Linked DNA regions of Arabidopsis thaliana. The protein of the gene in region 1 purifies or fractionates together with the protein of each later gene. This does not show direct contact. Each region holds a gene or a part of one and is shown on either strand. Other genes may lie near its edges.

Region 1 (5,233 bases):
CTCGAGTGTTTGGGATTCTCAAAGGATGATATACAGTGGTTTACAGTGAAGGAAGAGGAAAGCCACATTCACGTTGTGCCTTTGTGGACGCTTGCCAGTTTCAAACGGCTGAAGCATGTAGCTAACCGATACACAGTAAGAAACACATCCATTCGGTTTGACTGTCAAAGAAAAACAAAAGAAGTGATAATCTTATTGGCTGATTTCGTTAGAGGTTGAGTTCTAATACTGTTTTCTGTCCTGCAGAACCGTTACAGCCTTATCGTTGCATTTTCTCCTACTGGTTGGACATCTGGTAAGACTAAAAAGAAGTCCCCAGGAAGAAGGTTGCAACAGGGTACAATAATAAGGTAAACTTTTTGCCTATCTTCATGTCCTGTGGCATTGGGCTCAAAATCATGAGGCGGAGAATCTTTATATATATTTCAGGTACGAGGTTCCTTACAGTGAGCATAGCAGCTTCACGGAGCTAAAAGAGTTTGTGCAAAAAGTGTCACCTGAAGTCATCATACCGAGTGTAAACAATGATGGACCTGACTCTGCAGCTGCAATGGTGTCTTTGTTGGTTACGTAGAACTGTGTTTACATCTGCGATAAGCTTTGCAACAAAAAGGCAGCCTCCTTGACTACCAATTGAGCAGAGACGTCAAAGATCTACAACGAAAATGGATATGTTATGTTCTATCTAATTGTAGTTATGTAACCACATGATTATGTAGTGTTTTTCATCACAAACTCCGAATGCATTTGTTATATCAACTACTTTGGTCTTTACTTATTTCCACTGAAGAAATGCAAGTTGCAGACTAAATCCGTAATAAGAGACCAAGCTCATGGAATTGTTGAGTTTGCTGCAATTCAATGAGGAATATAGAAAACAGATATGCAGATTCGCATAAAGTATCTGTTAGAAAGGACACTTAAAATTGATAAATACTCTAATATCAATCTTCCAGTAAACAAATACATAAAGTTTGGGTAGTCGTAGAGATTACAAACAACAAGTATCAAAATTTGTTACAAAATCCTAGACAATCAGATCTTTTTATCCACCATGCAAAGTGGAAATGAAAACTACAACATCTTTATCTTCGATTACTGTATCGAGCTGACCACTTAGCTCCCAATCACAGTCATTCACCAGCACAAGAACCCCAGGTCTCCTGCACAACAGTTATTAACCTTCATTGAGCTTAATAAAGAAGTCTTAATGAAATCTTAACCTACAATGAGCTGATAAAGAAGAAAAATAGTCTTACACAGTATCTCCTTTCATGAACATCTCAGGTCTCTCTTTGATCAGATTTGTACGAACCCATGAAAGCAAATGCTTCATGGTAAACTAATCCAGGAATCAGAAAAGTGGAATGAGTGAGAGAAAAATTGCGAGCTTTATGATCCAAAAACATAAGAACTCAAGCTTACATCATCAGAGTCAGCTCCATTGGGCAAATCAACGTTTACTTTATGAATCTTTTCAGAATCACAGAGCAGCTCTAACCCACCCCTACACATCACATGTCAAGTTTCACTCTTCTCAATCATTGAACAACAACTAAAACACACACATGGTTCAAGTTCTTAAATTTCAGTATTACATACAATCAATCAGGAAAATAATCTCAAAAGACACCAAGTCAAAATCAGAACTTTAGTGAGGTAAAAACTAAAAACGCTACGAATAACAAAACTCCGATTACGAAAAGATTAAGTGATAATCGTACCCGAATTCAAGAGTTAATTGCATCGTCGTTGATGTTTGCAGGAGGAACCAAATTCAAAACCCAGCTCTTCTAGGGTTCGTTCGTGTGGTGTTGTTGTTCACTGTAAAACGACATCGTTCAGGTTGAAGACATGTTGGGCTATTTAATTGGGCCTAAAAATATACTACAAGATAAGGCCTATTACTTTTCCCGATGAATCATCATCTTATGTTAAAAAATTACTTATCGCATCGTAACCGTTGATTACAGGAACTGTAACGTATCAACGGACGATATTGATTCCTAGTTTGTCACTGAAAATAGAAAATAGATGGTGCCTGATATTTTTCCAGCGACCGGCAAAATTGCAACCAGGAAGAGAAAGAAAATCAGAGATTGATTTAACGTGAATGGAATTTTGTTGTTTCCCAATTTCTTCTGAGAAATAGCAAAGTTCAGTTTTGTTTCTCTCTATCTGAAGCTCAATGGAAGCTTATAAGCAATGGGTTTGGAGAAATAGAGAGTATGTACAATCCTTTGGATCCTTTGCCAACGTAAGATTCATTTTTATTACTCTTCTCCTTAATTTATTTTCCAGTTTGATTATGTTCTGATTCTCTGTCGATTTGGGTTTGTTTTCGTCTCGTCGTTAGTGTCAATTTCTAAGTTTTTCATCGTCTGCTTGTTTGAATATTTTTTGCTTGAAGGGTTGTGTTTTAAAATCGAAGCTTTTATTTATTGGGTTTAAGAATGAAAACCCTTTGAAAAAATTTAAGAGTTGAATCAGTTCGATCTTTTAATTCGTAGTTGTGGAATTCATCAGCTGATAGTTCGTCAAATATGTTTGTTTTGTTGCAGGGATTGACATGGCTGCTTCCTGAGAAGTTTTCTGCTTCAGAGATTGGACCAGAAGCAGGTTTTGTGATACTTTGGTAACATTTTACTGCTTTCAATCTTAGAATAACTGTTTCCTTTATCCCTGTTAGCTCCTAAAGTCTCTTGTCTGAATAATGAACACTGTCCTATACTCAGTTTTATCGGTTCTTCTCAAATTACATACTTCACTTGTACCTCCTCACATGTTTCGTGTCCTAAGTCTTTAACATTAGAACCTTCAAGTTCCAAAGAATGTTTCTTTCTTTCTTCTTTTGTCAGTTTTGTGTTCATGGAAGTGTGATTGAAGTTTTTTGGTAATCTTCTTTGTAGTAACGGCTTTTTTGGGCATATTCTCAACGATAAATGAACACATAATTGAAAATGCTCCAACACCTCGTGGCCATGTTGGATCTTCCGGGAATGATCCATCCCTTTCTTATCCACTACTCATCGCCATCCTCAAGGATTTGGAAACTGTTGTGGAAGTGGCAGCTGAACACTTCTATGGAGACAAAAAATGGAACTACATTATTCTCACTGAAGCTATGAAGTAAGCTTGCTTTCTTCTGATCACTTGGATCTACACAACCTACTTAGTTGGCATTTTGATATCTTGAAAACTTTGAATTTTCAGGGCTGTCATTAGGTTAGCCTTGTTCCGGAATAGTGGGTATAAGATGCTTCTTCAAGGAGGGGAAACACCTAATGAGGAGAAAGATTCTAACCAATCCGAGTCGCAAAATAGAGCTGGTAATTCGGGTAGAAATCTCGGGCCTCATGGTCTTGGAAACCAAAATCATCATAATCCATGGAACTTGGAAGGACGGGCGATGTCTGCTTTAAGTTCATTTGGTCAGAATGCAAGAACAACAACATCTTCTACCCCCGGTTGGTCTCGAAGAATTCAACATCAGCAAGCAGTTATAGAGCCTCCAATGATCAAGGAGAGGCGAAGAACGATGTCCGAGCTACTTACTGAGAAGGGTGTTAATGGAGCGTTGTTTGCGATTGGTGAGGTTCTTTACATAACGAGACCGCTCATTTACGTTCTTTTCATCAGAAAATATGGAGTCCGATCTTGGATTCCTTGGGCTATATCGCTTTCTGTGGACACACTGGGGATGGGTCTTCTTGCAAATTCGAAGTGGTGGGGAGAGAAGAGCAAGCAAGTCCATTTCTCAGGACCTGAAAAGGATGAGGTTAGAAATCTCTTGGACCTCAATACAACAGTAATGTTGAACCGATTTAACTCATATTCTTGTTACTTCTTCAGCTGAGGAGACGAAAACTGATATGGGCATTGTACCTCATGAGAGATCCATTCTTCACCAAGTACACAAGGTGAGTGTTCTTATGGTTTCAATTATGGCATTTTCTGAAATGGGAAAAATTGAAACCGAAGTGGTTCATTTCCTCTTGGCTCTTATGTTAATATTAGATTTGGTATCCCTGGGTTTTAGGCTTAAAGCTTAAGCTATCGCGGGTTACTAATAAATCAAATATGCTTGTCTTGCAATTGCAGGCAGAAGCTGGAAAGCTCTCAAAAGAAGCTGGAACTAATTCCATTGATCGGATTCCTCACAGGTTTACTTTTTAAAGCTTTCATTTCATTCACGAGATCACTGATTGTCTTGTCTACTTGCCATCTACTGACCTTATTTTGGTTCTCTCATGGAAATTGCAGAGAAAATTGTGGAGCTTTTGGAGGGAGCTCAGTCACGGTACACTTACATATCGGGATCGTGAGGTTAAGCGTTTTACTTATGGTTTATATGCAACGGAAGAATATTGCCATTGTTGGAATGCTTTTTCAGATCATCAAAGGCTCCTACAGATTTCTTAGGGAATGGTTTCAGGCTTTTGTTAGAAATTGTGTTTATTGCAACAGGTAGAGAACATAACCATAGACAGATGTATCTGAAGAGATAAGCTTCTCTATGTCTAAAGAAATGGACCGATACGAATAAAACAAGCATCATTAAAGATTAAATGGTTTGTAAGAAATACTACACTTATTTATGTGAAATTGTGTGGTTAGTGAAAAGTAAAAACATCGGAATCCAAAACCTCAAATTTACCAATCAGCCCAAATTATTGATGCTGGCGTAATGAATGGTATGCTGATGGTAGGCAAAAGTTGGTGGCTGCGAAAATTACAACATTATCCCTCTGTGGTGGACCCGAATCTGTAATCGGAAAAGGTGGAACCCACTTGGTTTAACTTTTAAGCCTAAAAGGTTACTACCGGTTTGACCGGTTTATAATTTGGTGTTTAATTCTAATCCCGGATCCGTTTGTTTGTTAATCTCAAGGCCACGTTATCGCCAATATTTTGATTTTTGAGTGGGTAGGGAATGGTGGGGTCGAATAGTTGGGCCTAGCCCTCAACAATGTGTGGAACTGAAGAGAGTAGGGTCCAGCTCAGGCCCACATTCACATTTTCGTTTTGTAGCCTTTCTTTTCTGGTGCTTACGGTCCCTCTTTCTGGTCGGTCGTATGTACAAGTAGCATAGCTAGTGGTTCAAACCCGAAACAAGTACCAACGAATCAAAATAAGTTTGAATCGGTTACATCTAGTTACCGTCGAACTTACAATCATTTCGATTACTTTGATCTGATTTCTAGTTCGGTTTGTATGTTTAATATCCGGATTG
Region 2 (4,623 bases), on another chromosome or scaffold:
AGACAACGACGGTCTTGTTTGGGTCCTAAGAAACGCAAGATTCGCTGCGTTTTGTATTCTTTTGGAGATGTGTTTTGGAATCGAAATGGATGAAGAATCGATATTGAATATGGATCAAGTGATGAAGAAAGTGTTGATCACACTCAATCCAAGACTCGATGATTATCTCCCGATTCTTGCTCCGTTTTATTCCAAGGAGAGAGCAAGAGCTCTCGAGGTTCGTTGTGAACAAGTTGATTTCATCGTTAAACTCATCGAGAGACGACGGAGAGCGATTCAGAAGCCGGGGACTGATAAAACGGCGTCGTCTTTTTCTTATCTTGATACACTCTTTGACCTTAAAACCGAAGGTCGTATAACGACGCCGTCTAATGAAGAGCTTGTGTCGCTCTGCTCTGAGTTTCTTAACGGTGGTACGGATACGACGGGGACGGCGATCGAGTGGGGTATAGCGCAACTGATTGTGAATCCTGAGATTCAATCTCGGCTCTACGATGAGATTAAATCAACGGTTGGAGATCGTGAGGTTGAGGAAAAAGATGTGGATAAAATGGTCTTTTTACAAGCCGTTGTTAAGGAGATTTTACGGAAACATCCTCCGACATACTTTACGTTGACTCATTCCGTCACGGAGCCGACGACGGTCGCCGGTTACGATGTTCCCGTTGGGATTAACGTTGAGTTTTATCTTCCGGGAATAAATGAGGATCCAAAGCTTTGGTCTGATCCGAAGAAATTTAACCCGGATCGGTTTATTTCGGGTAAGGAGGAAGCGGACATAACCGGTGTAACCGGAGTTAAAATGATGCCGTTCGGTATTGGCCGTCGGATCTGTCCGGGGCTAGCGATGGCGACCGTACACGTGCATTTGATGCTAGCGAAGATGGTTCAAGAGTTTGAGTGGAGCGCTTATCCGCCGGAAAGTGAAATTGATTTCGCCGGGAAATTGGAGTTTACGGTGGTAATGAAGAAACCGTTGAGAGCCATGGTTAAGCCAAGGGTCTAAATTTGTTTAATTATGAAAACGATGTGTGCTTATATATTAAAGAAGGAACCTATACTCTTGAAATTTGTCAAGTGCTTTGTGAATTTCTAGTAAAAGATTTCATTTATTGTCAAAACACATCAATAAATGATTTTGCTTTTTTTTTTTTTTTTCAATGTAAAACTGAGCTACCTTGAGATTGTGCTTAACACTAATAATTTCGTACATACACCGAAAGTAGGGCCAAGTAGCTATAAAGAGAAGAGACATGTCGATGTCAAAAATGAAAAAGACATGAATGTGATGCTGGACTTTCATTGAGCCGCAAAAGTTAGCTCAGATTTTAACTTGTTAACTAATCTTGTTGCATGTTCATGAATCATTGAATGTTTGAAATAACAGTTCACGCAATGTATCACTGTTCTACTTCACTTTTAATGCGAAACTAATGGCCCATTAACAACCAGAATAATGCTAATCATCATTTTTGGGCTTAGCTTGCTTTGATTAGATTTGTGAAGGAGAAGCCCATTATATTGGCCCAATAGCAAATACCCAATTAATTCCTCTCCCTCGCTTCTTCCTCGTTCTTCATTCGAGCAGAATCAATCTCATCGCTCTGTTGTGTCTAATTGAAGCTTTGGATAAGCTTCTTCCAATACCTCTACAATGGAGGCAACTGATATTTGGGGAGAAATTGAACGTTCTGAGAGGTATTCCTGAGAATTTGCTTAAATTTTAATTTTTCATGCTTGCGAATTTTGGTTCCGTACTTGGCCATGTGTATAAGGAGAAGTCAAAATTTTCTCAGAATTAGTTATCACGATAATTATCTATCCGGCTTTGATTCAGTCATGTATAGAGTTTGTAGAAAAACGATTCATCACAGACTTGACAAGAAACAAGTTCAAATGAAATTGCTTATGATGATGTCCACTCAAATTTATCTCATACTTGTAAAAATTATCTGTTTTCAAGTTGAGAAATTGGCTCAGTACCAATTTCATTACTCATTTTTTTTTTTGTTGGATGTGTATAGTTACCTAGTGTGCTCTATGTATGAAGAGGCAGAGTCATTATCTTCCTCTATACTGAAAAGAATATTTGGCAACATTGATGTTTTATCCGACGAAGCTTCTCAAGGTGATCATCAATTTCATGATATGTTGGAATCTGCTGGTATGGTCTTAGTTCAATCCTTGCATGGAATCGGCAGGTATATTTCATTTACTGTATTCAGATGTTATAACATGAGTAGTTCTTTTGCCTCTTACTTCTGTTTGGAATTGGATGCTCTAAAGAAACTTTAGAGTCTTGGACGCTTGTTGTAGTTTTGGCTATGTGATAGTTTTTGCCAACAAATGCCTTTTTCATGCAGGACAGTTGAGATTGTAAATGAGTTAAGAGATGTGTTTGGAGAAGTTGCAGCTATTCCTGTTCAAGTTCTTCTTACTGGGTATTGTTCTTGTTCTAAATCTTTCAAAGTATTACAGCTTAAGATGCTTTAAAAGGAGAATATTTGGTTCTTTTTGCAGTTTATTTTTCAAAACTAGGAGTAAAATACATTCATTTTATTTGCTAACTTTTTCTTCTTAAGGGGAGTACAATAACATTCATTTTATTTGCAAACTTTTTCTTCTTAAGGGGAGTACAATACTGCTCTCTGGATGCATTAGCATAGACAAAAGTCACAGAACAAGATTGTTGAAATCTAGTTTATTGATCTTCTTCCCTTTTTTTCCCTTTTAGAGTATGCCTTCAAATATCAAATGGTTCCTATTTGGGTGTACGTGATATTCTGGAAGAGTTCTTTAGAATATGGGTTTACAAGGACAACCACTATATCCTAAATGATGCTGGAGTAAGTACAAAAGGATTCCATGCGAAAAACTGTTTAGATATTGATGAGTACATGGAAGTCGTTGAGCTGTATACTTTTGGAGTTCTTGCAAAATTTTCAAATGACATGGGCCTAGCCATTTCATGGGTTGAAAAAGCTGCATTGCCTGAGGAAAGGCGACAGGTACTAACTATTGAATATTTTCGTGAGTTGTGTATGAAATTGTGAATTTGTTCTAACTATGATGCTACACTAAACTGTCTATTTCAGGGGATTTTGAGAAGATTGCATTCCTTACTTTCTCTCAAAACAGCTAGTTCTTTTGAGGAAAATTCCAAAGATTCTTCTTATGCTGTAGTGAATAACAAGAAGTCGTTGGGTAATGAAAAGAATGATGAGATTGATTCTTTCCTGAAACTATCTAAACAGCATGAACCTTGGTCACTTTGGTCATCCCATCCTCTAAGCCTCAAGGTTGGTAATACCCAATTTAGCATGTCCAGGGGAAAGGTTGCCGTAAGCCTTGTTGGATTAATCATATGTTATGCTTTGAAGAGAAAACGAGCTGCTTTGATAAGGTAAGAATTCTTATAAGCTTGTTTCTATGCTTGAATGATCAGAAGTTGTGTGATGAAAAAATACATTGTGAAACTTGTTTACTTGTTTCAGGATCATTCGCAGGCAAATGGAGTCCACGAGAAAAGCAATAGTAGATTTCTGGAAGCTTGCGTTTTCATACCAAGTGAATCCTCTTGCAGCAATTCAATCCATACCAAGCACCACAACATGAAGATGGATCAAAATTTGGCATTGAAAATGCCTATGTAATACCAAACCAACACTCAAATATTTTCATAATTGGTTCTATTCAAAGTTCAAACTTAGTTTTCCCAAACTTCTCCACTTATATCAAACTGTAATCACTGAACATGATTAAGAACCCGTTGCATATTATGTTTTATCTATATTTCTCCTTGCCTTTTTAATATGGGATAAATCCTCGTATGTTTGGATTTCGAAGAAGCAAGGGATTACAGTTTCAGATTCAAAGCTTACACTTCAAGGGAATTCATCTTCTAATGGTGAAACTATTTACAGAAGCAAAAGCTTCGCCTTTAAGGCTCCTCAGGAGAATTTCACTTACCATGATTTCGAGCTCGGCAAGATCTATGGCGTTGGCTCTTATTCAAAGGATTCATTTTTTCGATTTTTTTTCCTGTAAAAATCACACCTTTTTCTGCAATTTGGTTTGATTCATGAATCAATTCATATCCTGGAGATTTTACGTATGTGTAATTGAATCAGGTTGTTAGGGCGAAGAAGAAGGATAATGGAACTGTGTATGCCTTAAAGATCATGGACAAAAAGTTTATCACCAAAGAGAATAAAACCGCTTATGTCAAATTGGAGAGGATTGTTCTTGATCAACTCGAACATCCCGAGATTGTGAAACTGTTCTTTACTTTTCAAGACACGCAATCACTATGTAGGTAGTTTCTATTCAACTAAAGTCTAGACTAGAACAAAAACTCTAAAACCCTAAACCAGAAAATCTCATCAAAAAGCTTAAGCCTTGTATAGTTGTTGAAAGCTTGCTAAACTCCCATCATCTTCACCATCATCATCGAAAAACCCGAAGTTTTCCTGCAAGTAGCGGCCATATTGATCCGGAGAAATTTGGTCATTAAAATGTGGCTGCTGGCCAATAGAATTCAAGTTGGATCCAGTGACGGTTACATTGTCCCGGGAGTAGGGGTGATATTCACCCGGAGGAATTTGGTCACCAAAACGTGGTTGC

What was found.
Region 2: the proteins of SSE1 (region 1) and APEM9 purify together in Arabidopsis thaliana (affinity purification with western blotting; one study listed by BioGRID). This does not show direct contact.

The regions. Positions count from the first base shown.
Region 1 is NC_003071.7:18,822,557-18,827,789, reverse strand, and holds SSE1 (shrunken seed protein (SSE1)), read left to right. Parts: upstream 1-2,026; 5' UTR 2,027-2,188; coding exon 2,189-2,257; intron 2,258-2,561; coding exon 2,562-2,619; intron 2,620-2,909; coding exon 2,910-3,129; intron 3,130-3,213; coding exon 3,214-3,778; intron 3,779-3,852; coding exon 3,853-3,920; intron 3,921-4,101; coding exon 4,102-4,163; intron 4,164-4,263; coding exon 4,264-4,325; 3' UTR 4,326-4,623; downstream 4,624-5,233. Other genes in the region: AT2G45700 (sterile alpha motif (SAM) domain-containing protein), read left to right, coding at 1-135, 247-350, 430-574; AT2G45695 (Ubiquitin related modifier 1), read right to left, coding at 1,046-1,163, 1,260-1,342, 1,426-1,507, 1,725-1,747. UniProt on the Arabidopsis thaliana protein: Involved in the formation of peroxisomes, lipid bodies and protein bodies.
Region 2 is NC_003074.8:3,302,692-3,307,314, forward strand, and holds APEM9 (3-phosphoinositide-dependent protein kinase-1), read left to right. Parts: upstream 1-1,533; 5' UTR 1,534-1,654; coding exon 1,655-1,698; intron 1,699-2,024; coding exon 2,025-2,201; exon of another isoform or gene 2,202-2,346; coding exon of another isoform or gene 2,347-2,363; coding exon 2,364-2,441; intron 2,442-2,734; coding exon 2,735-3,008; intron 3,009-3,095; coding exon 3,096-3,403; intron 3,404-3,494; coding exon 3,495-3,615; 3' UTR 3,616-3,813; downstream 3,814-4,623. Other genes in the region: CYP77A6 (cytochrome P450, family 77, subfamily A, polypeptide 6), read left to right, coding at 1-1,006; AT3G10580 (Homeodomain-like superfamily protein), read right to left, coding at 4,392-4,623. UniProt on the Arabidopsis thaliana protein: Involved in peroxisome biogenesis and matrix protein import. Required for pollen maturation and in vivo germination via its role in peroxisomal function, which partially involves jasmonic acid biosynthesis.